2 linked regions of the Sus scrofa genome follow. The protein of the gene in region 2 purifies or fractionates together with the protein of the main gene of each other region. This does not show direct contact. Links are inferred from orthologs where the notes say so. Each region holds a gene or a part of one and is shown on either strand. Other genes may lie near its edges. The genes, in order: ATXN2 and MCRIP2.

What was found.
Region 1: the proteins of MCRIP2 (region 2) and ATXN2 purify together in Homo sapiens (co-immunoprecipitation; 3 studies listed by BioGRID and IntAct, with this or other methods). This does not show direct contact. The link is inferred for Sus scrofa from reciprocal best matches to the Homo sapiens genes MCRIP2 and ATXN2.

Annotation. Positions count from the first base shown.
Region 1 is NC_010456.5:32,701,637-32,716,535, reverse strand, and holds part of ATXN2 (ataxin-2), read left to right. Parts: intron 1-1,009; coding exon 1,010-1,188; intron 1,189-2,994; coding exon 2,995-3,240; intron 3,241-6,475; coding exon 6,476-6,658; intron 6,659-9,028; coding exon 9,029-9,226; intron 9,227-9,946; coding exon 9,947-10,054; intron 10,055-10,477; coding exon 10,478-10,548; intron 10,549-14,872; coding exon 14,873-14,899. UniProt on the Homo sapiens protein: Involved in EGFR trafficking, acting as negative regulator of endocytic EGFR internalization at the plasma membrane.
Region 2 is NC_010445.4:41,118,527-41,134,057, forward strand, and holds MCRIP2 (MAPK regulated corepressor interacting protein 2), read right to left. Parts: upstream 9,387-15,531; 5' UTR 9,266-9,386; coding exon 9,214-9,265; exon of another isoform or gene 9,198-9,213; intron 9,109-9,197; coding exon 8,991-9,108; intron 6,496-8,990; coding exon of another isoform or gene 6,357-6,495; intron 5,553-6,356; coding exon 5,425-5,552; intron 5,190-5,424; coding exon 5,088-5,189; intron 4,886-5,087; coding exon 4,815-4,885; 3' UTR 4,511-4,814; downstream 1-4,510. Other genes in the region: WDR90 (WD repeat-containing protein 90), read right to left, coding at 383-451, 1,173-1,391, 1,468-1,631, 1,927-1,994, 2,078-2,192, 2,411-2,584, 2,759-2,867, 2,956-3,132 and 2 more.

The sequences.
Region 1 (14,899 bases), on a different chromosome or scaffold from region 2:
CTCAAAGAGACATAAAAGAGAGGAATTCCTTGTGTGGTGAAAGTCAGATGAAAGAACTTGCCCAGTAAAGGCAAAACCGATTTGTTTTCATGGAATACAGGATGTATGTTGAGGGTGCAGTCGTGGTAGCTGGTGATAGGAAGTACGGCAGGGAAGCTCTTTATGTGTCATGTTAAAGAGCACCCGGTAGGTAGAGGATGGCATGGACCAACTTTGGGACATAGAGAACTGACTGAAACATAGAAAACAGTTATTGCATTGAAATAACTCGAGTGTGAGAACTTGGTAACCAACTTAAGCAAGACTGCTAATAGGTTAGAAAAACCAGGGGTGACCTGAGGTTTATTTGATAGCCAAGCAGATTGGTGATTGTGTTGGTAATGGAGATTAAGAAAAAAAAAAATGGAGCAAGCTTGAGGAGAGATATAATGAGCCATTTGTGCAATTTCTTGCATTTGAGGGGCTCACAGATCTTTTGTGCATTTATTCTTAAACATTCTGCATACGCAGTAGAAGATACATTTTCTGTCTTCAAGGCACTCATAGTCTAGAGTCATGATTTGAATTAAAGTGTTCAATGAGAGATGTTGAGACTGTGGGATTGACAATTTGGAGTTGGGGATTGATGTTGAAGCCATGAAAAACTGATGAACAGGAGAAGAGAGAAGAAATCAGAGAAAAAACGAAGTAGAGAAAACCAAGGAGGAAGAGTTTTAAGGAGACATATAATGATTGAGAGAATCAGCCATAAAGAGGCCAGGTAGGATAAGAGTGAATACACATCTGTTAAATTTTGTCCTTAGGGAGAGAATCTGAGGGAAAGGAAAGGTGAGAGGCTGGAGCTTAGGGTAGGATGGAAGAACCGGGTGTCTGGGGGTGAGGCAGTTTGGTGTAAGTGTTTAACTTTTTAATAACAAACATTCCCTTCTGCCTAAGTTACTTTTTAGAAATGTTTCATTGGCCTGGTACTTATTAGGATAAAATGATTTAGAGAATCTCTCATTTTCAGGGAAAATAAATATATTCCTCCTGGACAAAGAAATAGAGAAGTCATATCGTGGGGAAGTGGGCGACAGAATTCACCGCGTATGGGCCAGCCTGGGTCAGGCTCCATGCCGTCAAGATCCACCTCTCACACTTCAGATTTCAACCCGAATTCTGGTTCAGACCAAAGAGTAGTTAATGGAGGCAAGTATTTTGACCAAATTTCTCCATATCATTGATCGAAATATACTGTTTTCTAAATGTTTACATTTTATGTTAATTGATAAGGACATGAATACATTTAATGATTTTTGTGGAGTAGTTTTCACTTAAATTATTTTAAATTTGCCATTCTGGATATCAAATTAGTAAAAAGTAATATAAGTTAATGGTGTATACAGTATTTAGTATGATGAATTATAAAGTGCTAAATTTAACCAAAACCATTCACTTGGCAAAAAAGCACTCCACATACAAAGAAATTGGAAACTTTGGGTAGGTTCTCAATTTTTAAACCACTGGGTGATAAAATTATTTAGACATAGTTAACATTGAAAAATACCAGTTTGTGTAAAACACCTAGTGCTTAATATAGATTCATTTTTATGAACTGTTTGTTTATATATTTATATTTTGTTTATTTCAAGGAAGGATTTGAGGTAACTTGTAATACAGTACATGACCAAGAGTCATGTGAACGTGGTGAAGGAAAAAATGTGCTTAAAAAACAATAGAAACAACTCTTAGTGTAAGGGTGGATATTAGAGTTTAGCTTAAGTAAAAGAAAGTTGCGTCTTCAGTAGGAAGATATTTTTTCTACCTCAAAATTTAGGTTAAATTAGCTTATTGGTCATGGATCTCTCGTACAAGTCAGGGATACTGGACAGCTGTACTAAAGACTGTATGGAAATATGGTAGTTAATAATACTGATACTGTGTTATTACCAGGGAACAGTGGCTTTCAATTTTAGATATGTGAATTTGGAAAGTTAGAAAAATAGAGAACACTAAGTTTCCAATTTCATTTGTTTTCATTGAATCTTTCTCCAGAATTCCTCTCCAAATGAACACTCTTGAGTATTTTCTGTACTTTGTATTGGGGGTGAAATTTCTTTGCTCACTGAGTAAAGAGTTTTAGTTGTTTATGAACAGAATTTTCAAAGTAAAAAACCTGAAAGGGGCTAGGAAATGTATGATACTCAAGTGTGTGGAACCCTATGGAGAGGAGACCTGGACTGTTTCCTAAGATTGAGGTAAGTGATACGTCATGTTACATGTTAGCTGTACATCGACCTGTGCATATTTCTTGGTGTCAGTTATTTGGTGATGACTGCTCTGTAGTTGCATTGTTTATTAAGCAGTCTCTTAAATGAATGTTTAATTGCATAAATTATTTAGAATGTCCCCCTTTTTCCCAATTTGATAGGATTAAAATAAGTGAAAAGGCAGTGGATATTAACCTGTCACTCCTGTGACTCTAGAAAATAGCAGAAGTAATGTTACATTTCTCCTTAAATGGTGTTGTTTAATGAGATTTCAAACTGAGCTTTGCATTCAAATATGAACTAGAAGAAAATCACAGATAATTATAAGAAACTAGCATTTTTAATGGGATATAATAGCTGATGTTTCAGAAAGCTAAAACTAATATAGTAAATAATCCGATTCCTGAGTTTTGTGATTTATTGTGTGAAATTATCTAGTGTATGTTGTACTCCTTTTAACAATTGATTACCGAGAAACAGTTATAGAAGCAGGATTAATAGGCATAGTCTTAACTGTCTTCTTCAATAGTATGTGTAGATCCTAATTAACCCTTTGGGAACGTGTGTTCATTTAAACAGAATTTTAAGGAGGTTAAAGTAAAATGTGAATTTATGTCAGTTAAGTTATGCTAAAACTTATCACAAATCAAATGACTGTCCTCAAAGGGTTAAAATGTACAAGAAATCATTTTTGTCATTTTACTTTTTTTTCTGTTTACTTTTTTTCCCTCATTTTTTTCTTTAGTTTTTATACTTTCCTTCATATCATTTGTTCTGTCAGGTGTTCCCTGGCCATCGCCTTGCCCATCTCCTTCCTCTCGCCCACCTTCTCGCTACCAGTCAGGTCCCAACTCTCTTCCACCTCGGGCAGCCACCCCTACACGGCCGCCCTCCAGGCCCCCCTCGCGGCCATCCAGACCCCCGTCTCACCCCTCTGCTCATGGTTCTCCAGCTCCTGTCTCTACTATGCCTAAACGCATGTCTTCAGAAGGTACAATACCACAATTTGTTCATGTTTTTGTTTGTCTTTGTTTAACTCCTATGTGAGTTTATAATTACAAAATAGTTTCCTCTTCATTATTTAATAACCTATAATTTCCGTGTTTTAACTTTAGTTTATTAAAACTATTTCTATTAACCTTTTGTTCACTAGAGAGAAATTTGATAAATGCGTGTGAAGCGATGAATTATCTTGAATTGTAAGAATGGGGGTTTAATCTCTGCCTGGTAATGATGCTACTGCTTTATAGCCCAAGGCCTTCTCCCTCCCACTTTATAATGTATGTAGTGGTTAATGGTAAAACGTGAACTTTCTTCACCAGTCTTGGACTTACTGTAGAGCCTGTCATTTTATAGCTCCCTGCCAAGGTTACTCGTGATTCTGCCTGTTGGCCAAAGGCAGGAGTGGTGATTTAAAGGTCCTTTTTGAGAGGGACATTGCATGTAGCTGCCCCTGTGTGTTTGCCCATAGATGACAATACAGAGTTTCATTTTGTGTTTGGGAGTTTTAAAAAAAAAAAATTAGCTTTGTAGTATTTTATTGTGTAATATTTATTTAATCTGCAAGAAGTCCTTGATCTAAGATAAAACTGTTAATAAAAACAATGTATGAATCTTTAAGGGTCTTTTTACCCTTGTCAAAAAATAAAATCCTGGAGTTCCCGTCGTGGTGCAGTGGAAATGAATCCGACTAGGAACCATGAGGTTGCAGGTTCAATCCCTGGCCTTGCTCAGACGGTTAAGGATCTGGTGTTGCTGTGCCTGTGGCGTAGGCCAGCAGCAATGGCTCTGATTAGACCCCTAGCCTGGGAACCTCCATATGCCGCAGGTGCAGCCCTGAAAAGACAAAAGACAAAATAAATAAATAAATTAAATAAAATCCTGTAATTCTCATTCAATGTTTGATGCTAAATCCACCATTGCTATATATCAGATACATAGATGTGTTGTAGAAAGGTCACATTTTTATTTAAATGTAGTGAATAAATTAAAAACCTATTTTCTGAATGATAATGGCCTTTGATGTTATTGAGAGCATTTGATATTAAAATTTTAATCTGATTTGTTCATTAAAATTGCAGGTAATATTGCTTATGTTGAAACTGATACAGTTTTCTGGCATAAAGTGCTTGCCTAGAGAAAACATGTTGCCTGCTGTTTAATAAATATTTGCCATCTAGGCAGGGAGGTCATGTGATCCTGACTAAAGAGGCTAACCTTAAACAGCCCATTGCACTGATTTTCAAGGTTACTTCCCTACTCAAAAGTGTCTGTGATGGTGGCTTCTAAAAGAAAAGTTTAATTCTGATGAAGTATTTATTTGGTCTATTATTTGCATAAGTGATGTTCATATCATGAGAATATGTTAGATAAAAGCAAGACTCATTAGTGAGTGTGAGCTTGTTCACCATGGTTAGATAGAAAGATTCACGTCAGAGTATACCTTCTGCATATTCAGGGATGCTACATTATTCACTCTTTATTTTTAACTAATTGAATGAAAATAGGTTTTCTAGTTGTGTAGTTAGGTGACACTGAAGTATTTTTAAAATGTAAACTTCAAAATAAAGCTATTAAATATAATGGTTTTCTGTATTCAATATAGGGAATTATTTTGTTTCTGCAAGTATTTTACATACTGCCAAAAAGACTGAATTTTTTAAAGTTAAATTCTAACTTTGATTTCATTGAGCTATGCCAACCATCTTTCTTGGTCTTTTTCTATAAAGGGATATAAAAATATGTATAAATATGCAAATACCCAGTTCCTAATTCAATCTTCAGTATAAATTGTATCTTCAGTTTAAAATTATATAACATTAACATTCTTAAGGTATGTCCATGATTGAAGTACTACTAAGGACATAAATGAATTTGACAGTTTAAAGAGTTTGGCAGCAAGGTGCCAGTTCAGCAGCTTTGGCATTGACATTAAGAATGAACTTTGGGAGTTTCAGTTATGGCTCCGGTGTTCCCATAGGCTCTCGTGTAGGTCACAGACGAGGCTTGGCTCTGGTGTTGCCGCGGCTGTGGTGTAGGTCTGCAGCTGTAGATCCAATTTGACCCCTAGCCTGGGACTCCATATGCCACGTGTGTGGCCCTAAAAAAAAATAAAATAAAAAAATAATGAACTTTGCACTGTCAGTGATAGTACAAAGCCTGACAAGTGTTAGCACTATCAGGCTTCTCTGGTAAGAGCCATTCTGTCCACTGTTTTCACCTGATGTTTTGTTTGAATGCACAGTAGACTTCTTTAGAAATAGAAATCGCTAATGGGGTGACAGAATTGATGTGGAATTTTGACAATTCATATAGTGCAGATTTCTTCCCCAAGTGTCAGTTACTCTAGTCTGCAAGTCCTGCCTTAAAACCAGTAGAATTTTTAGCTCCCAGACTGTTAGTTAAGACTGTTAAGTCTGAGAAACTGCTTACAAGTGAGGACTGCTTTAAGATATGGATTATAAAATTGATCATCATGGCAGAAAAGGTTAATAAATTAAGGTTTTAGAGAAATTAAGGGAAATTTGAATATAATCCTTAGTACAAAAATGTATTGAGGTTAATAGTTTTCTCTTTAAAGAGTTTTTTTCCCTGGAGTTCCCTGGCAGCTCAGCAGGTTAAGGATCATCAACATTGTCATTGCTGTGGCTCGGGTCACTGCTGTGGTGCGGGTTCCCTGGCCCGGGAACTTCTGCATGCCACCTGCACAGCCAAAAAAAAAAAAAAAAAGATACTCTAAAAAATATATTTTTCTTCTAATTTTATAAGTAATGTATTAAAGAAAATTTGAAGGAAAAAGCTAAAAGTATGTGGTAAAATAAAGATTATTACATCATGTAGCTATAACCTTTATAAATGTTCTATTATTTTTATATGCCTATAAATTATGGACATAGAGTAAACAAATTGCTAAAATCTTTGCAGAGTTATGACATCTCACTGTTTGATTTCTTACTGCCTCCTTCCCTTTCTTTAAAAATAAGGAAAATAAACTTTATTGTTAAAATTTTATGTCATTCCACAAAATAATTCTGAGAGTATGGCCAAAAATGTAAATGGCGTTTGTTTTCTTTTTTTTTTAACCAAGAAGAAATGGGGGGGGAAGGGGAGAAATGTGTGTGTGTGTGAGAGGGATAAAGAAAAAGAATAGGGTGTGTGTATTTAACAGAAAAGTAGTACTGGTGGACATTGTGGCATTTATGTGATGTTCACTGTTCCTTTCTTAGGGCCTCCAAGGATGTCCCCAAAGGCCCAACGACACCCTCGAAATCACAGAGTTTCTGCTGGGCGGGGTTCCATTTCCAGTGGCCTAGAATTTGTATCCCATACCTCACCAAGTGAAGCAGCTGCTCCTCCAGCAGCAAGGACTAGTCCCGCAGGGGGCACATGGTCTTCAGTGGTCAGCGGGGGTAGGTAACACTTGGCTTAAAGCATAATATCAATGACACTTTGTTATTATATTTGATGTAAAAGGGCTGAGCTTGAGCTCTGTTTGAGGAAGTCTAAGTGTATATATTTAAAATAGTAGAGTAACCAGGAATTTGGAAAACAGTTTTTATTCTGGGTTCTACCACTTAAGTCACCATATGTTGGAGCAAATCAAGTGATCATTTTGAATTTCAGTTTTCTCAGTGAGTAAAGTAGTTTTTGCCTAGTCTACTTTAGGGTCTTGTGATGAAATTCATATGGGGTTCATAAATATGAATATATTTTATTATGGTTTTATAAAGGGCCACTCAAATGGGAGGCAAATACAGTGCATAACAATTTTTGGAGGGGATCACATTTCCTGTCTTCTTAGAAACTTGGTTCATTGATTCCACATTTATTTTGGGCTTACAGGCTTGCAATGCTATGTGTTTCTTTTTTTTTCCCCCATTCATTCATTTGAAACATTTTTATTGAGGTTTTTTTTTTTTTTTTCTGTCTTCTTAGTGCCAAACCCATGGCATATGGAAGTTCCCAGGCTAGGGGTTGAATTGGAGCTGTAGCTGATGGCCTTCGCCACAGCCATAGCAACGCATGATGCAAGCCGCATCTTCGACTCAGCCACAGCTCATGGCAATGTCAGATCCCCAAGCCCACTGAGCAAGGCGAGGGATTGGACCCATGTACTCATGGATACTAGTCTGGTTTGTTAACCACTGAGCCACTATGGAAACTCCCTATTGACACTATTCTGGGCCGAAGTGCGGGATCCAAGCCGAGTCTGCAACCTACACCACAGCTCACGGCAACACCGGATCGTTAACCCACTGAGCAAGGGCAGGGACCAAACTGGCAACCTCATGGTTCCTAGTCGGATTCGTTAACTACTGTGCCATGACGGGAACTCCCTATATATCCTTTTTAAGGATTAACAAACACAAGGGCCCAAGTTTTATCTGTGACCAGCCTGAAGAATGTGCTGACAGCAGCTATAAAAATGTAAAAAGTGTATACTTTGATAGGACCTTACAATTAGGTTAAGATTGCTTTTGCTACTTAATGTTTTGTTTCTATGATAACTAGAGTTGGAGCATGCAGTGACATAATCTATCTTAATCAGTGCATGGAACTTTTAAAAGAAAAATCTTTAAACTGAAACAAAGAAAAATATACCCAACTCCATTAAATGTCTTTAGTTGATATACATTTCTTACTTTCATGTAAGTGTAATTTTATGGTAAATTCCTTTGAACTTTCTATTTTTCTAATTTGGTCTTCAGTTACAAGGAAATTATTCAGTTGACAAAAAATAGTTTCTAAAATCTTAATTTCTTCTGTGTATCAGTAATTATTTGACAGTATTCAGATGATATGGAAATGAATTTTGAAAGTAACAACATGATTATAGAAGTGAAAGAGTAGGGAGTTCCCTTGTGGTGTAGCAGGTTATGGATCCAGTGTTGTCACTGCAGCGGCTCGGGTCATTGCTGTGGTACAGGTTTGATCTCTGCCCAGGGAGCTTCCATATGCTGTGGGCCACCCCACCACCACCACCAAAAAAAAAGAAAGAGGTGAAAGAGTAAAATCATAGTTGTTAATAGATACACCCAGCAGTATTACAGGTTTGCTCTTTATACTAATCAGAAAAGTGACAGTTGTTGAATAATAGTTTCCTTCCATGACCCTTGTTACTTAGGGTGAAGAATCACTAAAGTGAAGCAAATTGAACTATTTCCTCTAAATCTTTGAATCTGAATAGGTTTATATAAAATACGAAACCTATTAGATACTCATTTTGAAGTTATGTGGAATATGAACTCTTCCTTGGATTATCTTCCCCTTTGCCCTAATTTGAGTTTCCAGTTTCCTTAGTTACTGAAGAGTGGATTTTGCTGTGGTAAATAAACTGCTAAAATGTGTTTATTATTTGAAGGAGAAACAAATAAGCCTACGTCTTAGGGATTCTCTTCCCCTCCTCCACACATGTATTTTAAAGAAACAGTCTCACCTTTTAGTAGAGAATGTTGTTATCTTTATCCTAAGAAGTAGCACTTGTCCTTCCTTAGAAATCCAGTTTTTAACTTCATTTAAAACACTGCCTTTTAGAATTCATATATTTAGTTAGGAGGGAAAATGACTGTTGTACATGGTTATTAGTAATTGTTTTCATTCTTCAGATATTTATACTTTGTCGTCACCATTATTCCTGAGACTTTGGAAAAGAAAACAGGTGATGAGATGAGTAATTGGGAGGTCAGATAGAACTGTTACCTAGATCTTTCAGAAAAGCCTTTTTGATGAAGCGACATTTTAGCTGAGGATATAATGGGTAACTTTTCTCTTTCTTGTAGTTCCAAGATTATCCCCTAAAACTCACAGACCCAGGTCTCCCAGACAGAATAGTATTGGAAATACTCCTAGTGGGCCAGTTCTTGCTTCTCCCCAAGCTGGTGTTATTCCAACTGATGCTGTCCCTATGCCTTTACCAGCTGCATCTCCTACGCCTGCCAGTCCTGCATCCAACAGAGCTGTTACCCCATCCATTGAGGGTATGTAAGAAAGGGCTTCTAGATCCATGATGTCATTGGTGAAATTGAATTTTAGACATTTAACATTGTGTGAAAAATGGTTATGTTGTTTTATCCATAGGTAAGTATTTGATGGCATATTAAAAATTTTATGTAAATAAAGTTAGTTGTTTAAGTAATACTGCTAATTTCAGGAGTTCTCATCATGGCTCAGCAGTAATGAACACAACTGGTATCCATGAGGACACAAGTTCGATCTCTGGCCTTTCTCAGTGGGTTAAGGATCTGGTGTTGCTGTGGCTGTGGCGTTGGCTGCCAGCTGCAGCTCCAAGTCAACCCCTGGCCTGGGAACTTCCCATATGTAGCAAGTGTAGCCTGAAAAGAACAATAAAAATAAAACCTGCTAATTTCATATATGTTATTCTGAAAGTTTAAGAGAGTTTACATTCCTGGGTAGTAAATAACAATATAAGTAAAATTTATTAGTGGAATTTCCTGGTGGCCTAGCACTTAAGGATTCGGTGATGTGGCTCAGGTTTCTTCCCTGGCCCAGGAACTTCCATATACCATAGGAGCAGCAAAAAAAAAGAAAAAATATATTTCATATGTCTGCGAAGTAGGAAAGTCTCTGTTTAAGTGGAAATATTCTTTTCCAAAAACACAGGATCAAATGGTTGAGTATTTTCCAATTTTACTTCTATAGCTTCTATTAACCTTTTTATATAAAATACTGTTTTCTAGCTAAAGATTCCAGGCTTCAAGATCAGAGGCAGAACTCTCCTGCAGGAAATAAAGAAAATATGAAGTCCAATGAGACATCACCTAGCTTCCCAAAAGCTGAAAGTAAAGGTTAGAGCTTTAAAAAGTCTTTAGGTATATCTGTAGAAATAGGAAGGAATATGTCTAATCTGATGCCCAGTACATATTACTTTTTTGGTCAACACTTTAATTTCTTAGTGTTGTGATATTTAAGTGCATAATTTGACAAATGTCAAAATCTATAATATATTGAAAGTTTTGTTATTTTGGATAGAGGTTATTTTTCATTTCCACCATCCCATCCTAAAAAAAATCTTAAAGATTAGAAATAAATCTAGGAGTTGTCCTGTAGTACAGTGAATTGAGGATCCAGTGCTGTCACTGCAGCAGCTTGGGTTGCTACTATGACACCAGTTTGATCCCTGGCCTGGGAACTTCCACATGCTATGAGCACAGCCAAAAAAATTAAAAATAGAAAAAGAAATCTAGATCTAATACTTCATATTTTTACAGGTATATCACCAGTTGTTTCTGAACATAGAAAACAGATTGATGATTTAAAGAAATTTAAGAATGATTTTAGGGTAAGTATTGTATTGACTAATGAATTAGAATTTTTAAAACAATTTTTTAAATATTACTAAGAATTTTTATATCATCCATTTACAAAAATGTATTTTATATGTATACCCAGAAACATCAAACCATATTTGTAGAAAGCTAAATATTCTTAAGTTGTCTGTGTGTGTGCTTTAGGTAGAGTAACTAAAATCATGAGATTTAATAAGAACAATATAGCTATTAAATGAAAGAGAATGTAATTTTCATATTGGAAGTCATCATAAGTTATTACTTCATGTTCATTTGATTACTTTATTCAAATATGATAGAGCAAAGGCAAAAGGCAGCCTTTTCCTAGCCTGTGTTCTACCTTCCTAAAAATTAAGTTTTTGCTTGATAGCTTCATTTTTGACTTATTGGCAGTATTCAAAATATTAAATGTTGTTTCATACTTTAGCACATTTATCTGGTCATCTTTAATGCTATTAACAGTTGTGAATTTAAATTTTTTTAAGCTATAATTAATGCATGGACATGATAAAAAGAATAATAACTGAATGCTCAGATGGTTGCTACTCAGCTTACTTAATATGTCAAGCACTCTACTATAGTTAAAGTCCTCCTGGGTACTTGCCCACCTCAGCTACATCCTTCTGTAGGAGTGAAGGATTTCTTTCCTTGTAATTCTTTACACTGCATATAAGTAGATTCCCTAAGCAACAGATGATATTATTTTGCATCATCTTCAACTTAATATAAATATGTTACAGGTGTTCATGCCCATTTGCTTTTATTTCCTCAACATTATTTTTTACACCCAGTCCTTCATGCCCTTAGAGTAATACATTTGCATGAATTTATTACATTATGAAGGAAAAAAATTGTTTTTACTTTGAAGCATATAAGATAGAATGTTTTTGTAACAGTTTTATTGAGGTATAATTTACATATGGTTTAGTCATTTAAAGTATAGTTTAGTGGTTTTTTAGTATATTCATAGAGTTGTATAAGCACCACATAAGCCCTTAGCAGTCACTTCTCATTTGCTGTCTTTTTTTCTTTTTTCTTTTCTTTTCTTTTTTTTGTCTTTTCTGTCTTTAGGGCCAAACCCACGGCAATATGGAGGTGCCCAAGCTAGGGGCCTAATCGGAGCCACCGGCCTAAACCACAGCCACAGCAACACCAGGTCTGAGCCGCGTCTGCGACCTACACCACAGCTCAGGGCAACGCCAAATCCTTACCACTGAGCGAGGCTAGGGATCGAACTCTCAACCTCATGGTTCCTAGTCAGACAGAACTCCTCATTTGCTTTCAAATACTTCTCCCCACCCCACCTCCACCCTAAGCCACCACTAATCTACTTTTTGTCTTCATGGATTTGGCTGTTCTGGACTTTTCATATGAAAGGAACCATACAATATGTGGCCTTTTGTGGGTGGCTTTTTTTCTACTTACTGTTACGTTTTCAGGGTTTATCCATGTTGTTGGGTGTGTCAGTATTTCTTTGCTTTTTATGTGAACTCCATTGTATAGATAGACCACGTTTTATATATCCATTCATAATCAGTTGATGCCTTTTCCTTCCCCCTTACCCCTCTGGTAACCATAAGTTTGTTTTCTTTGGGGGAGGTGCTATACCTCTGGCGTATAGAAGTTCCCAGGTAGGGGTCCAGTCGCAGCTGCAGCTGTCAGCCTACACCATAGCCACAGCAACACAGCATCCAAGCCACGTCTTTGAGCTACACCACAGCTCACAGCATCTGGTTCCTTAACCCACTGAATGAGGCCTGGAATTGAACCTGCATCCTCAGGGGTACTAGTTGCATTGTTTCCGCTGAGCCACAACAGGAACTCCCAAGTTTGTTTACTTTTTTTTTTTTTTTTTTTTTTTTGTCTTTTTTCTTGGGCCGCTCCTGCGGCATATGGAGGTTCCCAGGCTAGGGGTCGAATCGGAACTGTAGCCACTGGCCTACGCCAGAGCTACAGCAACGCAGGATCCGAGCTGCATCTGCAACCTACACCACAGCTCACAGCAACGCCGGATCGTTAACCCACTGAGCAAGGGCAGGGACCGAACCCGCAACCTCATGATTCCTAGTCGGATTCGTTAACCACTGCGCCACGACGGGAACTCCCCAAGTTTGTTTTCTATGTCTGTTAGTCTATTTCTGTTTTGTAAATGAGTTCATTTGTATCAATTTTTTTAGATTCTACATGTAAGTGATATCATGTGATATTTAGCTCTTTCTTCATATAATAATCTCTAGGTCCATCCATATTGCTGCAAACGACATTCTTTCATTCTTTTTTATGGCTGAGTAATAATACTGCTGTATATGTGTAACACATCTTCCTTATCTGTTCATCTGTCAGTGGACATTTAGGTTGCTTCCCTGTCTTGGCTATTGTAAATAATCCTGCTGTGAACATTGGGGTGCATGTATATTTTATAATAAGAGTTTTTTCTAATTATCTTTTGTGGATATATGCCCAGGAGTAGGATTGCTGGATACACGGTAAATCTGTTTTTAGTTTTTTAAGGAACCTTCATACTGTTTTCCACATAGGCTGCACCAGTGTATATTCTGAGTAGTTTTTTTTTGTTGGTGGTAGTGGTTTTCATTAGTTTTTTTTTTTTAATGTAGTGTTAGCTGGGGTTTCAAATTCAGTCTTTTGCATATGGGTAACATTTGCCACAGCACTGTCTTTTGAAAAGACATTGAATTATCTTTGCACCTTTGTTGAAAATCATTTGGCCAAGTGGAAGAGCTTATTACTAGACTCGGTTCTCGTCCATAGATCTCTATATATCTATCCTTTATGGCAGTACCACACTGTTTGAATTAGTGTATTTTTTTAAATGCTTATAACTTCTTCATTTAAAAGAAAACATTTTGGCTCTCATATTATCTGTTCACAACTTTCTGTAAACCTTCTTTAATACTTGACTCTTAAATTCCAGGTAGTTGCAGCATTATATTGCTATCTCTTTGGGACTTCTACTCTTAATATTTTGGGGGAACCTGAAAATGCAAATGTATTATTAAATTTCTTATGAACAGCTTAATCATCTGTAAGTGAAATAATAGAAAGCAACGAAATGATTTGATTTGATTTGATTGTCCTTTTTTTTTGGCTTTTTAGGGCCACACTCGAAGCATATGGAAGTTCCCAGGCTAGGGCTTGAATCAGAGCTACAGCTGCTAGCCAGCACCACAGCCACAGCAACTCGAGATCTGAGCTGTGTCTGCGACCTATAACACAGTTCATGACAGTACCGGATCCTCAACCCACTGAGGGAGGCCATGGGTAGAACCCGCATCCTTGTGGATACTAGTCAGATTGTTTCTACTGCAGCATAGTGGGAATTCCTGTCTTTATTATTTTTGTTTTTTTCGGGCTGCACCTGCAGCATATGGAGGTTCCCAGGCTAGGGGTCAAATCAGAGCTATAGCTGCCAGCTTACTCCAGAGCCACAGCAACACCAGATCTGAGCCATGTCTGCCACTTAAACCACAGCTCACGGCAACAGTGGATCCTTAACCTACTGAGCAATGCCAGGGATCAAACCCACATCCTCATGGATACTAGTCAGGTTCGTTTCCACTCCGCCACAACAGGAACTCCTATTTTGGTTCTTTAAACATGCAATCTCTGGTGTTCCAGCTGTGGTAAAATGGGTTAATGATCTGGCTTGTCTCTGAGGAGGCACTGGTTTGATCCCTGGCCCCGGCACAGTGGGTTAAGAATCCAGAATCCTGCAGCTGTGGTGTAGTTCACAGCTCTGGCTTGGATTCGATCCTTGGCCCTGGAACTTCCATATGCTCATGGACAGCCAAGAAAGAATAAAACAACAAAAAACATGCTGTTTCTTTTGCTTGCACTAGTATTCCTGTTTTGGAACTCCACACCTGCCTTCCTCCCTCAACATCTTTCACACTTTAAACTATATGACACTTCCAAAGAAAAGCCTTCTCTTTCCATAAATTGCTTTTTCCTACGGCATCTTTTAGCACTACCCCAGTTGTTGTTTGTCTATTCTCATCCAGATGGTAAACTTTGGGAGGATAGGAACTATTTCGCATTTCTATGTCCTACATACAGAATTTCTGACACATGGTATGCACTCCGTAATTTTTTTTTTAGGCTAGGACATTTGCGTGCTTACATGACTAGTTACTGTGTATAGACATACTGTTATTGTTGCCTTATAATGAAAACATTATTCATAAAGTATGAAAAAAGCTTTTAGTATACTCATGCCTACAAATACTAGTTTTGCTCATGGAACAAATTGATTACTAGACTAATTTAAAATATTTAAGTATAATTATTTCCTTTATTTAGTTACAGCCAAGTTCTGCTTCTGAATCT
Region 2 (15,531 bases):
CACAAGCCTCCGCTCCTCCTGCGGCCCCCGCAGGGACCCCCAGTCTGGCCCACACGCGGCCCCGTGCTACTGGTCTGGATCTGGGGTGGACAACATGCATTGCAGCTTTAAGAGATGACCAGGGCTCTCAGATCTCTGGAAGCCGGAGCACATGAACCAGCGGTGGCCTGGCTGGTGCTCACAACACAAAGAGGAGATGCCTGCGACTGGGTGTGGCTGCGATGAGCAAGCACTGAGCCTGCGCCGTAGGCAGGGCCGGGCCTCTGCCGTGTGGAACGGACCAAACCCCTGGGGGAGCTCCGAGGTCCACGCAGCCACCTCGGGGCTGTCCCCTCTGTGTGGCCGATGCTTGTAGGACCCAACGAGAGCACAGGATCCTCACCCATGTGGTGCTGTGACCCCCAAAGCCGATAGCCCCTTTCAGCCTCAGGATGGGATCCGGGAGAAAGCTCTGCAACAGGTGAACTCGGGGTGAGACCCTGGGTGGCGAGGCCTTGTCCCACCAGGGCCGCCCCACCCAGAGCTGGTTCGTGCCTCCCAAGGAAGTCGCTTGGTCCTGGTGGCCTCTGCTGGCTGCTTTGTGGCAGGAAGCCAGGACTCCAGAGACAGTGCTAGACCCTGCAGGTACCCCGACCTGCCATGGCCTGGAGCCCAAGGCATCCCACAGACCAAAGAGGCATCGCCCTCTCACTACTCTGTCGAGAACGATTTTGGGGAGTTCTCTTTGTGGCTCAGCGGTTAACGAACCCAACTAAGATCCATGAGGATGTGGGTTTGATCCCTGGCCCTGCTCAGTGGGTTAAGGATCCAGCGTTGCCATGAGCTGTGGTGTAGGTCACAGACGAGGCTTGCATCCCGCATTGCTGTGGCTGTGGTGTAGGTCTGCAGCTGTAGCTCCGATGGGACCCCTAGCTTGGGAACCTCCATATGCCGAGAATACAACCGTAAAAACAAAAACAAACAACAACAAAAAAAATGGCTTTTGCCCATGGTCACTTCCTACTGGTTCTGCTTTCTGCCAGAAAGCTGGATGAAAAGGAACCATGAGCAGAAATCACACGCCCTACCCAAATTCCTGGTGGTTGGGGACCGGTGTCCCTCCCCACAGCTCGTCCAGAACCCACTCCCCTCCACGGCAGAGTCCAGCCCGCCTTCCTGGGAAAGGCACTCACCCCTCGTGGAGCTGTGGCCTCTGGGGCCGTGGGCGCCACCGCCGGCTGACAGGCAGACACGTGAAGGGCGTCACCGGCTGCGTGCTCGTCAGTGGCTTCTACCTGGGCCCCAGGCTTGTGGCTACGGCCACTGGGGCCACCTGCGCTGGAGCTCTCTGACCGCCGGCAGGACAGGCTGACGTCTAGAAGGGGGCTGGGCGCCAAGGAGGCCCGGTGGGACTTTGGGGGAACAAGAGCCTGTCAGCCGCTTGGACCACCCTCCCCAGCCCCATCTCCGAGGGCACAGGGCACTCACCGCCGTGGGGCCACGCTTCCGGGCCACAGGAGACGCGCTGTCCTGCAGAGGCTTGCTGAGGGTCGCCGGCTGAGTGGGAAGCCCAGCTAAGACCGCAACGGTGAAGGGGTCGCAGAACCCAGCGAGCAGAGCACAGACAGCGCGTGAAGACATGGCAGCGAGGCCTGCCTGGGGCAGCAGTGGGCCCTGGCCTTGCCTACCCGGCAGCAGGGAAGCTGCACCAACAGCTGCAGCCCCCCGCCGAGGACCCTGGCACCCCTTCCCAGTTGTAAAGCTAGGAGCCAGGAGGCACCCTGACCGCAACCTCCCGAGTGGCTCTGGGACCTTGGGACAGAGTCTCCACCTTCAGGGACCACACTGCTGGCTTTGCCTCCCCTGGTGCAGCTTCGGGCCCCCTGTCCCACCAACTCCATGGGCCTGAGGGTCTGAACCCGGGTCCAAGCTGCCCCACAGGCTCACCTGCCTCGGGAGGGGGACAGCCCCCCTGCACCGTTTCGGACGGCCTTTTCCAGCGGTCGTTCGGAAACCTTGGTGGAAAGAGAATCAGCTTCCCAGGGCCGCCTAGCCCTCCTTCCACCAGGCCTCCCTCAGCACATGCAGAGCCACTCACCGGATGTGGACGTAGTGGTCGTGCCAGCTCTCCCCTTTTGGCACCGGGAACGCCATCTCTCGAGGTATGGGGGTGACCGACAGCTTCGCACGCCGGGCTTCAGCGACCGTGACAGCTACCAGAAGCAGGGGTGTTCCACGTGAAGGGGTGCCCACCTAGCTCCCTCTCCCAGCCCAACCACCACCTCGCCCCCAGGCTGTCTCAGGAGCTGGCAGACTCAAAAGATGCTGCGGCGGGAGGTGTGTCCATCAAGTACCAGCAAAGATGCGGAGACCAAGGCAGAGAGAGTGAGAGCAGGTGGGCCGCAGGCTAAGCGCAGGGTGTAGCCCTCACCAGGGTCGAAGCACAGGTCGCTGGTGTAGAGGCTCCTGACCAGCAGGCTGGCACACAGCCTGACGCTCTTGAGGTGACTGTGGCGCCGGTTCAGGTAGACCAGGAGGAGGTCCGGCAAGTCAAGCTGCAGGCAGGTCCAGCGGGTGCCAGGGGGGGCCACACCGGCCAGCTCTGCTGGACATCAGCCAAAGTCAGTGCCTAAGCTCTCAAGAGACAGCCCGCAGCACTCCTTGGCATGTCCCCACACCCATGCTCCCAACCCCATGCCCGCCACCCACCTCCCCCTGGCCCCTCGGGCTGCCTCTCCAAGACCTTCCGTGTCCCTCAGATGCCTCCTCTGTGTGTTACCTTTCCTGGGTGCCCCAGGTTCACAGACAAAAGGAAACTGAAGCCACGTGGCTGTAGACTTAACCTCCTTGTAGAGACTGGAAAATGACAGTCGGATGACCTGGCTGTCCTGTGGGGACACAGCACACCTGTGACAAGGCTCGCCTGCAGGAGAAGGGCAGGGCCTCCGCAGGCCGCCCAGCTCCCCAGCTCAGCACCTCGGTGGCCACATCCAGATGAATGACGAAATGTTTGGTGGGCAGGGGCCGAAAGAGCACATACAGGTAGCGTCCAGTCAGCCCCAGAGACTGGGTGCTGGTCTTAGGGAGCTGGATGTAATTGGCGGCAGAGATAGAGCCCCGGACGCGATACACGCTGCACTTGAGGGTCTTGTCCTGGGGAAAGACGAAGGCAAGGCGTCCCGCACAGACACCGGGGCGGGGTGGGGTGGCGTGGGTGCAGCAAAGCGCCCCACCGGGAGAGAGGACGGAAGCCGCCGCTCCTGCTCCGCGCCCAGGTGCCCTGGCCCACTTACCGTCACGGCGGCCACGTCGCCCTCCTTGGTGGACCGCTTCCACTCGTCCACCTTGAAGTGTCGGAAGACGTTGAGAAACGGGTGCTGCCACACTGGGGACAAGGACGCGTCAGGATCCGCCCCCAGGGGCCAGACCCTCCTCAGGTCCAGGGAGGGGGCCAAGGGGTGACAGCGAGCCCAGCGCGCGGACCGGGCTCCGGGCGAGTCTCAGCGGCAACCTGTCCACGGCGGCGCCTGACTTCGGGTCCCAGAAGCCCAGCCCCCGGCCCCCGGCCCCCGGCCCCCGGCCCCCAGCCCCTAGTTCCCGACCCTCCCGCCACGCACAGCTACCTCGCGCCATGGCGCCGCAGCTCGCGCTTCCCGCCTCTGCCGCCGCGCGCCCCACGCAGGGCACGCAGTGCGTACCTAGCAACGGCCGCCTGGCAACCGCGCCGCTTCCGCCGTCCGGGCTCAGGGCACGAGACCGCGCTTCGGGGGCGGGTCCTAACACGTGACGGCGCGGCCGGGGCATTTAGCACGTGATTGCCGGGGGCGGGGCCTGACCTAGGCTGGAGCGGTGGGAGCCCGGGCGCCCCGACACCTTGCCAGGCCGTAATCTGTCCTCCGCTGCTGCGCCCTCGGGCAGGCGCTTCCAACCTGGCCTCTGCGGCCAGTCCCAAGTCGGGAGCCTCGGTGCTCTAGCACCACCAGCTGTGGGACCGGGGGAGGCTCCCGACTCTCTTAGGCCCGTCTTTATGTAAGGAATGAGCCATTGCGGGCTGCCCTCCCTCAGCAGGGACCTTCCCCGCTTCCTCTGTTGCTATCTAACTCTCTGGAGGTGGCATCCACACCTGGAGTGGTCCACAGGCACAGCAGTGTCCCACGGGAGCCCCTGGGCTCCCCACCAAGACCTGGGGCGTCCAGAGGCAGCATCAGGCATCCTGAGCCCTGACCCCAGTTCTGGGCGGCTGGGACCCTCCTAGGGCCAGACAGGTGACACCGCTGGGTCTTGAGGCCAGGTTCAGATACCGGCCAAGACCAACAAGGAGACAAGAGGAAGTGGGTGTCAGGTGGGGCAGGGTGGTGTCCACAGACTTCAGTGCAAAATAACCTGGCTCTGGACACAGGACTGCAGCTCGCAAGAGGCCAAGGGCCAGAGCGGGACAAGGCTTCCGCGGTGGGGAGATGGGGCCACAGGGGAGGTGGGGCTGGGACACAACTCCCCCTACCCCCACCACCAAAAAAAGACATCTCCAAAGGGCAGTTTTCTCAATTTTATTAGCCTGGAGCTCCTCCCTGCCAGCCCCATGGGCTGGCCCAGGGCACAGTGAGCAGGACTGAGGTCAGATAGTTTCAGCCCCTGGCAGCCTGGAACAGCTGGACAGAGGGGTCAGCAGGTGCAAAAGTCCAAATGCTGGCACTTCAGGTGTGGCCGGCGCCTGGCCAGGGCCAGGGTGAAGCCTGGCCTGCCACAGTGGGTGAGCAGGGCACCGTGGTCCTCTCCTGGCAGAGGGTCCAGTGTGGGGCAGGGCCAGGCCCTGCTTAGGCAGCATTCCTTGGAAGCTAGGAGCAGTTGGTGATCCTGGCCAGGAACTGCTGTGCCCACCACTCATCCAGGTCGATGGGCACAAAGTCTGTGGGAAAGCAGAAGGCTGGCCAACCAGCGCCTGCCCCTGGAGCCACCACAAGCCCCGCACCCCGAGCCCAAGTGTAGGAGCTGCTGGGAAGAGTCGGGTCAGACTCCAGTCTTCCTCCCACCCCACCGGGGATAGGACCTGGCTGAGCCAGGTCCGGTGGGAGGTGGATGGGACCCCCTGAGGGCGGGGGAGGGCTCACTCTGTAGCCGGGGGTTGGGGGTCCTCTCCACGTACTGCACAGGCCTCGGGCCGCTCTCACCGGCTGGGCCACCACCCAGCTGCTGCTCCACTTGCTGCCAGGCTGTGGGGAGAGGGTGGTCAGGCTGAGCCAGGCCCCTGGCCCCCTGTCTCCTACTCGGGGGCCTAGTGGCCACCCTGGACCCCAGCCCAGATCTGAGAGTGGGTGGCCTGCTGGACGGTCACAGGACGAAGAGGCAGAGAGCCCAGACAGGGCCCAGCCCTCCGGCCGCTGTGAGTCGGGTTACAGTGGAAAGATCACCAGTGGCCCAGGCCACACCCTTGGGCCTCAGAACTACCTTCGGACACAAATCGGACGTTCTCCTCGTGGGCCAGTGTGTAGGTCTCTTGGGATCCCTCGAGGGATGGGGATGTGGCAGGGGGCCGCCGGCCATTCACCCGATTGAACACGAGCCTCGGCCCTGGACTGCAGGAACAGGGAGGAGACAGTCAGCCACTGTTCTAAGCCCAAGTGCCACCTGGCAGAGCTCCGGGAGTGGCCTCAGGCCACACCAACCACAGCCAGGCCAGGCCCAGCCCGGGCACTTCCCTGAACATAGGGCAGCTGCGTGCTGCGGCCAGTGACCAAGGCCTTTCTCCAGCAGGCCTGCACCCCAGCAGCCTGGCTCATAAGTCAGCCCCCCTGCCCTGAAGCAAGCCTGAAGCGGTGGGGGGAGTACTCTCTCCCAGACCCCCAGCAGAGCTCCAAGCTCCTGGCACCCATCCAAGGGGCTCTCAGGCACCTCCTCTGCCACCTGCCTCTCCCGGACCAGCCCAGCCTTTGACCTGAATGCACAGGGTGCTCGGCCCAGTGCCACCCAGCAGACACAGTTCTTGGGTCACCTTCTCCCCCATAGAAGCCTTTCCATCTAATGACACAGTGTCACGCAAGAGCTGGCAGCCGTTGCCCACCCCCAGCTGCCCCGGGGACAAGGCCCCAGGGATGGCTCCTCCTTGTGCTCAGCGGGCCAACCTGAGCCACGAGGGTGTGGCTGCAATCCCTGCCCAGCCCTGCAGGCCCCAGGCCAGGGCTAGGCTCTTGCCCGTGGGTGCAGGAACGCCCTGAGTGCAGGAGCTCTGCCTGGTGGGCGTTCGATGTCCAGGTGGCCACAGGACCCATCCCGGTCAGCCAGGCCCGGGGCATCGATGGGCTGCCCGGGCCTGTAGCAACTGGCCCAGCCCTGCGCACACGATGCCCGGGGCAGGGCCGTGGAGAGAGCGGGGCCCACACCTACAGCAGGAGGAGGGAGCCGGGAGTCCTGGGCTGCACGTGCCCCTCCGCCAGGCACTCGCGGTCCCGCCGGCCTGCTCGTCATCCTGGGCTCAGGCACCCACCGCCGCTCGGGGTTCCTCCTCGGTTGAGAGGGGCACTAAAATAAAGAGGAGCGTCTTGAGGGGCACCGGTCCTGCCAGCTCCGGGCTGGCAGGGTTGGGTGGCCACAGAGAGTATAGGGAGCCAGGGCTCCTCCCGGGCCTGAACTATGCCAACCAGAGGGCATGCACGCCTGTCCTCGACTGAACAGCTCCTGGCCTGCCACACTTATCCCTGGAAGGCCGCAACCTCGAGGAAACTGTGCACATCAACGGGGGCAAAAAGAACTGTGCTCAGCGGCTGCCACTCACAAGGGCCGAGGTGGTGGCCCAGCTGGGCCGAGAAGGTGCCCCAGCAATCAGGTGCTCACCACTCCCTGCTGGCATTACATAAGGTGGCACTGCAGGTCCTCTGGGGGAGAGGGCACAGCTCCCCTGTGCACCTACAGACAAGTCCGCAGTCCGGCCCGCCCCGCCCTCCGTGCCAGCTCTCAGCTCCCATGGCCACGGCCTGTCTCTGCTTGGGGCATCCTCTTCCTTCGTCCCCCTCACTTCCTGCCAAGGTAGACCACCCGCATGTTGTCAGCCCAAGAGCCTGGGCTCAAGAGGGAAGTGACCAGGCCCAGGTCACACTCAGTGAGTGGCTGGCAGTGCCGGAACTTAACTGTGTGTCTGTCTGACCCCACGGCCCGGCACAGCTTCCCTGCAGCATCAGGTGGTCACAGGGCCCCACTTTCTCTCCTCCCCAGCAGGAGACATCACCTCCTGAGGTCTTATTTTCTCGCCACCGCCACAGGGCACAGACGCAAAGGCCTGAGTCCCACCACAGGACAGGTCAGATACTTTGAGCATCCATGGTGCACCAGGCTCGGACCCCTTCTTCCCAGGCAGGTCTGGGGGAGGGAGAGTGGACAGGAAGCTCGGGTGCAGTGATTTCAGAGGCCTGTGGACCTGCTGGCTGCTCTGGTCTCCCAGGGAGGGGCTCTTCCAGGCACAGGAAGAGGCAGCTCAGGGAAGGTAGTGACCGCAGGGCGACGGGGCGATGGTGCAGTCAGCACCCTGCTGTCTTCCCACTGCCCCCGCACCCGGCAGAATACAGCACCTCAGAGACTGCGAAGGGCAGAGACCCGAGCAGGGTGGCACCTTCCAGGCGCGGAGCTGGCTCCCCCCTCTCTCCCCAGCACCCTGACCACTGCGGACGCTCCCTGCTTTCCCTATTCCCCAGCCGAGGGGCCGCGGAGAGAGCAACAGGCTTCTCCATGTACGAGAGTGGGGGGCTCCCCGCCTGGGTGGCAGAGGAGCAGGGCAACACACCCGTGCCTGGTTCCCTCCCCTGGGCGGTAGGGCGGCCATGCGGACTGAGGCCAATGTCACAGGGCAGTGTCCCTGCACAGCCCAGGCCCTGGGACGGGCCCCCCAAGGTCCCACCCCCAGCCCTCCCCAAGAGGTGCTCATGGCTGGCCAGCAGCATGTTCCTCGCTAGGACCAGCCTCAGAGGGTCCACACGCTCCCAGCAAGAGGCCCCTGGGAAGAGCCTGAGCCGAGACGGGCCCTCACAAGCTGCCCCCACCTGCGGCATCGAAGGCCAGTAACCGAGGGGGAAGGGCAGGCTGAGGATGGCCAGAAGCACACCACCCCTGCCCTCTTAGGCCACCCTGGAAGCTTTTCGTCCTCCACGTGGAAGGAGATCCCGGGCCGAGACCGCCCCCCCCCCCCGCAGCGCTGCCTCAGGGCCCTGAGTCTGCTGCCCTCATCCAGCCACAGCCCAGCACAGGAGCCCTCAGGCCGGTGAGGGCCTGGACCAAAGTCCTGGGCCCAAGACAGCAGAGAATGAGTGAAACCAAAGCCCAGGATCTGAGCTAAAAAGTAAAGGTTCAGCCCTGGAGGAGGGGGAAACGGACCTCCGGGTTCCAGTCACTTGGATGCCAAAGTGGTTGAACGGAGCCTCCTTTGGCAAAAGTGCTGGTGAGAAAGGGGAGGAAAACCCACAACTCCAGCAAACCCCGAGCATCTGCGGGGCGCGGGGGTGGGGTGGGTGAAGGGCAAAGGAGAGCAGTGGCCTGGCAGGACCATAAGGAACCACCTGCACCTCTCCTCCGCCTGCCCTGCAAGCTTAGGGCTGGCAGCCCCCCGCCCCGGGGCAGGGGCAGGCTGCCTGCGGGCCCGCCTTCTGGACCACCCTGCTCCCGCCCTCCGGGGCGAGTCCCGGGACAGCTCTTCTCAAGCCACGCAGGCCAAGGTCGACCCGGGCACCTGATTCAACCGCAGGCTTTCTCCCGACTATGGTCTCACAGGGCTCGGAGGGGTGGGTGTCACGCATATCCCGCCCAGCCCCCTCTGACCCAGCCAGGCGCCAGGTGAGGCGGAAGCGCGGAGAAGCCGAGCCGGAGCTGCAAGCGCGGGTCCGGTCGGCACGCTCCGCCCCCTCGGCGCCCGTCCCGAGCATGTGGCCCGGTCTCCGCTAACCTTTCCCCAAGGTCACCCTCCGGGCCCCGCGGCGGCCGGCGGGGGAGGGGAAGGGCAGGCAGGCTGCGGCAGGGGCCAGGCGTCTCACCTTGACAGGGGCCAGGGTCCTGGAGGCTGCGTCCGTGGGGGCTGCGGGGTCGGGGGCGCGGGATGCCGGCATTTCAGGAGCTCGCCGAGCCGGTTCTCCACCTGCTGCTGCGTGGGACCTGCGGGCACGGAGAGGGCGCGTCAGCCGCCGCCGGGGCGGGGACAGCGTGAGGACCCCCCCCTCCCGGTCGCCCCCTTCCTGCCTTACCCGCCCCCCCTTGCACCTGTGCGGCGCTGCGCGACCAGCTTGCTGGGTCCCTTGGTGATGGTGTACATGGTGCGGAGGGGCCGCCGCACGCCCGCGCCCTCCCTGCCCACCGTCCCGCGGCCAGACCTCTCGCCCTCCGCCCGGCTGGCACTTGGCGGGCGGCGAAGGTGCGGCCCCTTTAACGGGCGGCCGGCGCCGCGGGCAGGGGGCGGGCCCGCTACACACCCCCGGCCCTTAAAGGGCCCGCGCGGAGGCACGCGGCCGGGGCGGTGCTCGCGCCGTTGCGAAACGGGCTGCTCCCGCCGAGAGGCCCGAGGCCGAGGGGCGGGGCCGGGCAACCGCAAACCGCGCCCGCCCCTCGGACCCAAGGCCAAGGCCGAGTAAATTCCCCGAGGCCTGGGCCTCCCGCCCCCGGGCACCCAGACGTGGGGTCAGCATTGAGGTCAAGAAGCCAGAGCGCTGACAGACGCTGGGGGTGATCTGTGCCCACCCTGGAAGCACGGGTGGAGGCCCTGCCCCGAGGTGCCTGGGAGAGCCTGGGCCAGGATGAGTCCAGTTACGGACTGAAGGGATCAGAGATGAGAAAAGGGGTGTCAGCCCTGTAGGTTTGGGCGGAAATGTGTCTGCTCTGGCAGCCTCTCTTTCACCCCGTGGGTCCAGAGCCAGGAGTGCATCCTATCCTGGCTCAGTGTGCCCTGCTGATGGAGGGTGGAGACCCCTGACCAATCCAGGAGCAGCCTGGGGGCTGGATCCTCAGGTGGAGAAGGTGGATTAGGCCACCCAGCTTGCTGAGGCCACCCACAGGGGAGAAGGGGCACTGGCTCCTGCAGACTGCCCAGGCAGTGCTGGGCTGAGTGGCAGACTCTGAGCAGGGACAGTGCCTTGGGCCCAGCCTCCCTGACCTCCAGGAGGAGGTCAGGAGCCTGGAGGCCCAGGAACCAGATCTCCCACTGGGCCCTAATCTCCCAGGCAGCCCCTTCCAAGCAGGCTCTCCCACAGGGTTGCCTCCTAGGAACTAGATGGAGAAGCCCCTTGCTCTCAGCACTGGTACTCAGGGCTGCCCAAGCTCTCCCCACAGCAGCCTGGCTTGGAGGTTCGGAAGCATAGCACTCTTGGGTTTGGGAGGCTGAGGGCCTTGTGTGCTCTGCAGGAGGCACGCATGCTTCTGTGTGGTTGAGATCAATCCTAATGGCCCCCTCCCCCTAAAAACCAAACTGTGACCAGTTTGTCCAAGAGCTATGGCATCGGCCTCTGAGACCTGTGTGCCCACCTGGTCCCACGGAGCCCCTGCTCTGCTCCCAGGAGTATTTGAGGAGGCTCAATCGGGCCAGCACCAGAGCCTGGGGTGTCCGATGGCGCTCCGTCTCAGGCTGGGAGCCGCTGCCCCAGGGGCAAGGGGGCTTGCCCTCAGCACTGTGGCCCAGTAGTTCCTGGAGCACACAGAGTCCAGCTTCCCCCACATCCACTGTCAGAGCAAGCCTGAAGCCTTCCACCCAGGCAGGGCTGAGGCTGAGGCAGGGGCTGGAGCGGGTCCTTCCCTCCCATGCAATGCCCAGGCCATAAGGACAGTGTACACCGCAGGGAAGAGTGGGTTGGGGAGCTAGCAGGAGGAGACCCCCCACCTACGCCATGCACCTGTGCGGCTGGCGGGGGTAACCGAGCTGTTCCAGCACCTGCAGGGAAGCCTGCATCCCCGGGGTGCCCGGGCTGGCCTTCCCTTCATGTGCTCCCAAGGGCCCTGGGCTCTCCGTCTTGTCCTGCCCAAGGGTAATACCCCCTCCCCAGCTGGGCTAGGCCTGGGACCCTGAGAAGGGAGAGCACATGCAGGGGGTCCAGGTATGAGCACACCCCTGGCCAATCTGGCCCCTCCCTGCCCACCTCTGGTCCCTGCCCCCAGTCACACCAAGGCCAGCACTGTCCTGCGTCATCTGTACTGGCTCTCTGGCATCCTTGGTGGCCTCGGGCACAATGCAGAAGGAGCCAGGTCCTGGGGTGGGGGGGTACCTCCCCCGCAAGCTGATCTGAGAGCTCCTCCTCTCCTGGCACCTGCTCAGGCCAGCATGGATCAGGGGCAGGACAGGGACGGTGGATGGGCGGGCAGGCCTGGCCTTTGCTTAGATCTTCTAGAAACCAAGGCTGCAAGGCCCTCCGGTCCCAGCCCTGCCCATGAGCCTTGTCTGCGGTCAAAGTTTGGGTCCAGAACCCTTGGAAGGGCTCCCAGGAATGACCAGCAGAACAGGACCAGTTGTGACACGTGGCAGGAGTGGGGGGGCAGGACAGGCAGGGGATGGGTAGGGTGGAACTGAAAATCCACTGGTCCCCAAGAGGCGCTGAGCAGGGGCAAGGAGAACTAGGGTGGAAGAAGGCCAGGTTGTGGGGGCAGCAAAGCCTGGGCTGTGGGGCTGAGGGGCCTTCCCTGCCCCACAGCTCCCAGGACCCAGCTCTGAGCACCAGACCTGCCCTGGCCTGGGGAGGGCCCCGCCAGAGCCCTGTGAGGTCAGGGTCTGGATCGACCTGCTGCCAAGAGCTCCTCTCACAGGAACCCCAGGCCAGCCTGGCTTCCTTGGACTGCACAAGCCAAGACCGCGTGTCAGCCTGCAAAGCCACCACAGAGGCAGAATTGTACAGCCAGCAACGTTCCTCATCGTCAGAGAAGTTGGGAACCCAGCTGGAGTTGGGGGCAGGGGCAGCTGGGCGGGAGGGTGAGGTCTCACCCACAGGCACACACAGTGGGCGTCCCAGGAAGCAACAGCCTTACTCAGACCCCAGTTATCATTATAAAAATATATACTGTTTCTCTTTTTTTTTTTTTTTTTTTTTTTTCTTTTTAGAGCTGGACTCACTGCATATGGAAATTCCCAGGCTAGGGGTCAAATCGGAGCTACAGCCTCGTAGGGCTACAGCCAGTGCCACAGCCACGCTGGATCTGAACCGTGTCTGCGCCCTGCACCACAGCTCACGGCAACGCCAGATTCTCCAACGCATTGAGCAAGGCCAGGGATCGAACCCACATCCTCATGGGTACTAGTCAGGTACATTTCTGCTGCGCCACAATGGGAACTCCCTATTTTTCTCTTCTAAAAGCCTCTCCATATGACACTGACCTTTCAAGTTAAAGGAGGAAGAAGTTTACGTTTGCAGCCATCCTCAGCCACCCTCTCATAGCCATGCCCTCGCCACGCCACACTGGGGGAGGGGCTTCGGCCAATGAAGAGTGACCAGTGGCCCCAGGAAAAGACTCCCCCACTTACCACTCAGTTTCAAGGGCTCGCTCTGCCCCTTCCCGTTGCCACGTGCAGTGAGTTGAATGGCAGCCCCCAAAAGAGCCACTGTCCCCAACCTCAGAACGTGAGCTGACTTGGAATAACGGTCTTTGCAGATATAATTAAAGCAAGGATTTTGAGATAAGGTCATCCAAGGTTAGGATGGACCCTAAACCCAACGATGAATGTCTTTGTAGGAGAAAGGAGACAGGTACTGGACACAGAGACATGAAGAAGACAGAGACAGAGACTACAGCAAGGTGGCCCCAAACGCAGGAATGCCTGAGCCACCCCGAAGAGGAGGCAGTGACGAAAGAGCTTCCTGTAGGGCCATCTGAGGGAGCTGACGCCTTTATTTTGAACTTCTGGCGTCCAAAACTGAGACAACATCATTTTTTTTCTTTTTCTTTTTAGGGCTGCACCCGTGGCATATGGAGGTTCCCAGGCTAGAGGGCTAATCGGAGCTACAGCTGCCGGTCTACACCATAGCCACAGCAACGCGGGATCTGCGCCATGTCTGTGACCTACACCACTGCTCACGGCGACACTGGATCCCTGATCCACTGAGCAGAGCCAGGGATCAAACCCATATCCTCTCGCTACTAGTCGAATTCGTTTCCACGGCGCCTTGACAGAACTCCCAATACATTTTTGATTTCAGCCATCAAAAGTTGAGGTCATTTGTTACAGAAACTCTAAGAAATTAAGAGACTGAGGGATGGGGTAGCGGGTGAGGGAATGGAGGGAAGCGTTGGGGGCTTGGAGGAGGCTCAGGAATGGTGGGCACACAGGCCTGGACCTCAGGAGAGAAGCCGGGCCCTACTGTTGGCTCCAGACATCATGGGGCAGAACGGGGGACTTTGTCCCCAGCCCTCGGGAGGTGAGTGCGCCTAGGGGAGAGGGCACTTCCGGCGCCCAGGACGATCCTCAGGAGACACACCCCCAGGAGGTGCCACTGAGCACAGCCCGGGTGCGGGGCACCTCCAGGCCCAATGTTCAGCGTCCCTCGGGAGAGACCTGGACCCACCCAGAGTCTGACACACATTCAGGACTTTGCAGAAAATGTGTGCTCACACGTGTGCCCTTGGCTCACACATGCTCACAAGCATGTGTTCACGCACACGCTCCCAGAGCCTCACCCCTTGGCCGTGTCCAGCTGCTCCCGTCCCAGGCTCTGAGCTCCGTGAGTGTGGAAGGTGTGCGTCAGGTCACACAGTGTCCAGTCCAGAGCGATGCCTCCAGGGTGACGAGGGTGGCGGGCAGAGGGCCACCTGAGGTCCAGGGCTGGTAAATGGAAGACACTGCTGGGCCTTTGCCCACTTCCTCAAGCAGCCCACACAACATGGGGGAAGCAAGGAAATCTGTGGGTCTCAGGCCCCTCCCCTCCTCTTTTTTTTTTGGTTCTTTTTAGGGCCATACCCATCTCATTATGGAGGTTCCCAGGCTAGGGGTCGAAGTGGAGCTGCAGCTGCCAGCCTACACCACAGCCACAGCCGTACGGGATCCGAGCCGAGTCTGCGACCCACACGGCACGGCAGCTCACCCTTAACCCGGTGAGCAAGGGCAGCGATCGACCCTGCACCCTCGTGGTTACCCACTGAGCAAGACAGGAACTCTGCTCCTCTCAATCTCATCACTCGGGAAGTCTCCAGAATTTTCAAAGCGCTGTCCCAGGAGCCAGGACAAAGGCCGAATAGCTAATTCGTACTCTATGACAATATCACAGCATGGCCCATGCCCAAGAGTGCCATGTGAAGCCCCCAGGAAATCTGGTGCCTCCTGAGGGGGCGAGGAGGGCTGGGGGACCTGGGTGCTGAGGCCTCAGGTGACCACGGGTCATCAGCAGTGGGCAGGGAGTCACACCGAGGGATACCTCGTCTCCACCTTGAGACAGACAAGGTGCTCGGCCAACACACGGGAGGCGAGGCGGAGGGTGAGGAAAGGGTCTGGAGAGCTCAGTGCCCTGAAGCGGGAAAGCCGGAAAAAGGGCCTTAAGGAGAAAGGCCAAAGGCGCGGTCCGGAGGCCTGGAAGCCCGCCCACTGGGCGGAACCGTCCCCGGAGGTGCGTCCAGACCGGCCACCCCCACAGCGCGTCACCTCCCTGAGCTGCAAGATCCTTCTCCCGGTCGGACCACGCTCACAGGCCCCTGTCGCCACCCTGCACGCCCCCCTGACAGCAACCCGAGGCTCACGGCCCATCCCGGGGGCCGTCCACAGAGCGCTCGCCGGAGCGACGGCGGCTGCGGCGAGGCGGGGGTCTCGTGCGAGAAAAAACGCCCAGCAAGGGAGAGGAGCTACGCCGACGGCGGGGCATGGCCTTCCGCCTGTCAACAGCCTGCTTGAGACCTGGGCCCCGAGAAGCCGAGCAGCGAAGCATCTTTGGACACAACAAGTCGGCCTCCCCCTTGACTCAGAGGTCGCCGGCCCCTCGCAGCATCGGCGAAAAACCCTGGGCGCGCGCGGGTCACCTCAGCGTCACAGACCCTGGAGCCGCGCAAGCTCAGTTCCTTCAGGTCGGGCCCGCCCCGTCCAGAGCCCCACCCACCCGTGAGCCCTGCCAAGCACAGACCCGCCCACCCACGAAGCCCCGCCCTCACAACTTCCGGAATGCCTCAGTTGCCATGGTTTTCAAGGCGCGAACGCCGCTCCAGGCGTCCATAAAACCTCAGCCCCACTCCGTCTCCTTGAGGGCCGGGTGCCCAAACGGTACCGCGAGATCCCCGGTCAAGCCCGGTGTTCCTGCTCCTGCTGCGGGCGCGGCGGAGGCGCGTGCACTCTGATGTCTCTGCGCGAGCGGAGCCGGCTCGGCGGGGTGAAGGGGGGGAGGGGATTTGCGTCACAATCTCCTAAGTCTCTGGGAGAAACCTTTAAGCAACAGCGCCGCTGGTGTAGTGGTATCATGCAAGATTCCCATTCTTGCGACCCGGGTTCGATTCCCGGGCGGCGCAGGCTTTTCTTTCTCCGGTGTTTTTTTCCCACCATCTCAAAAAATGGACTCTGATCCTAAAAAGATTAATGAAGAAGAGAAGGAAAAAAAAAAAAAAGACGAGAGAGAAGCATCCATTCTGGTG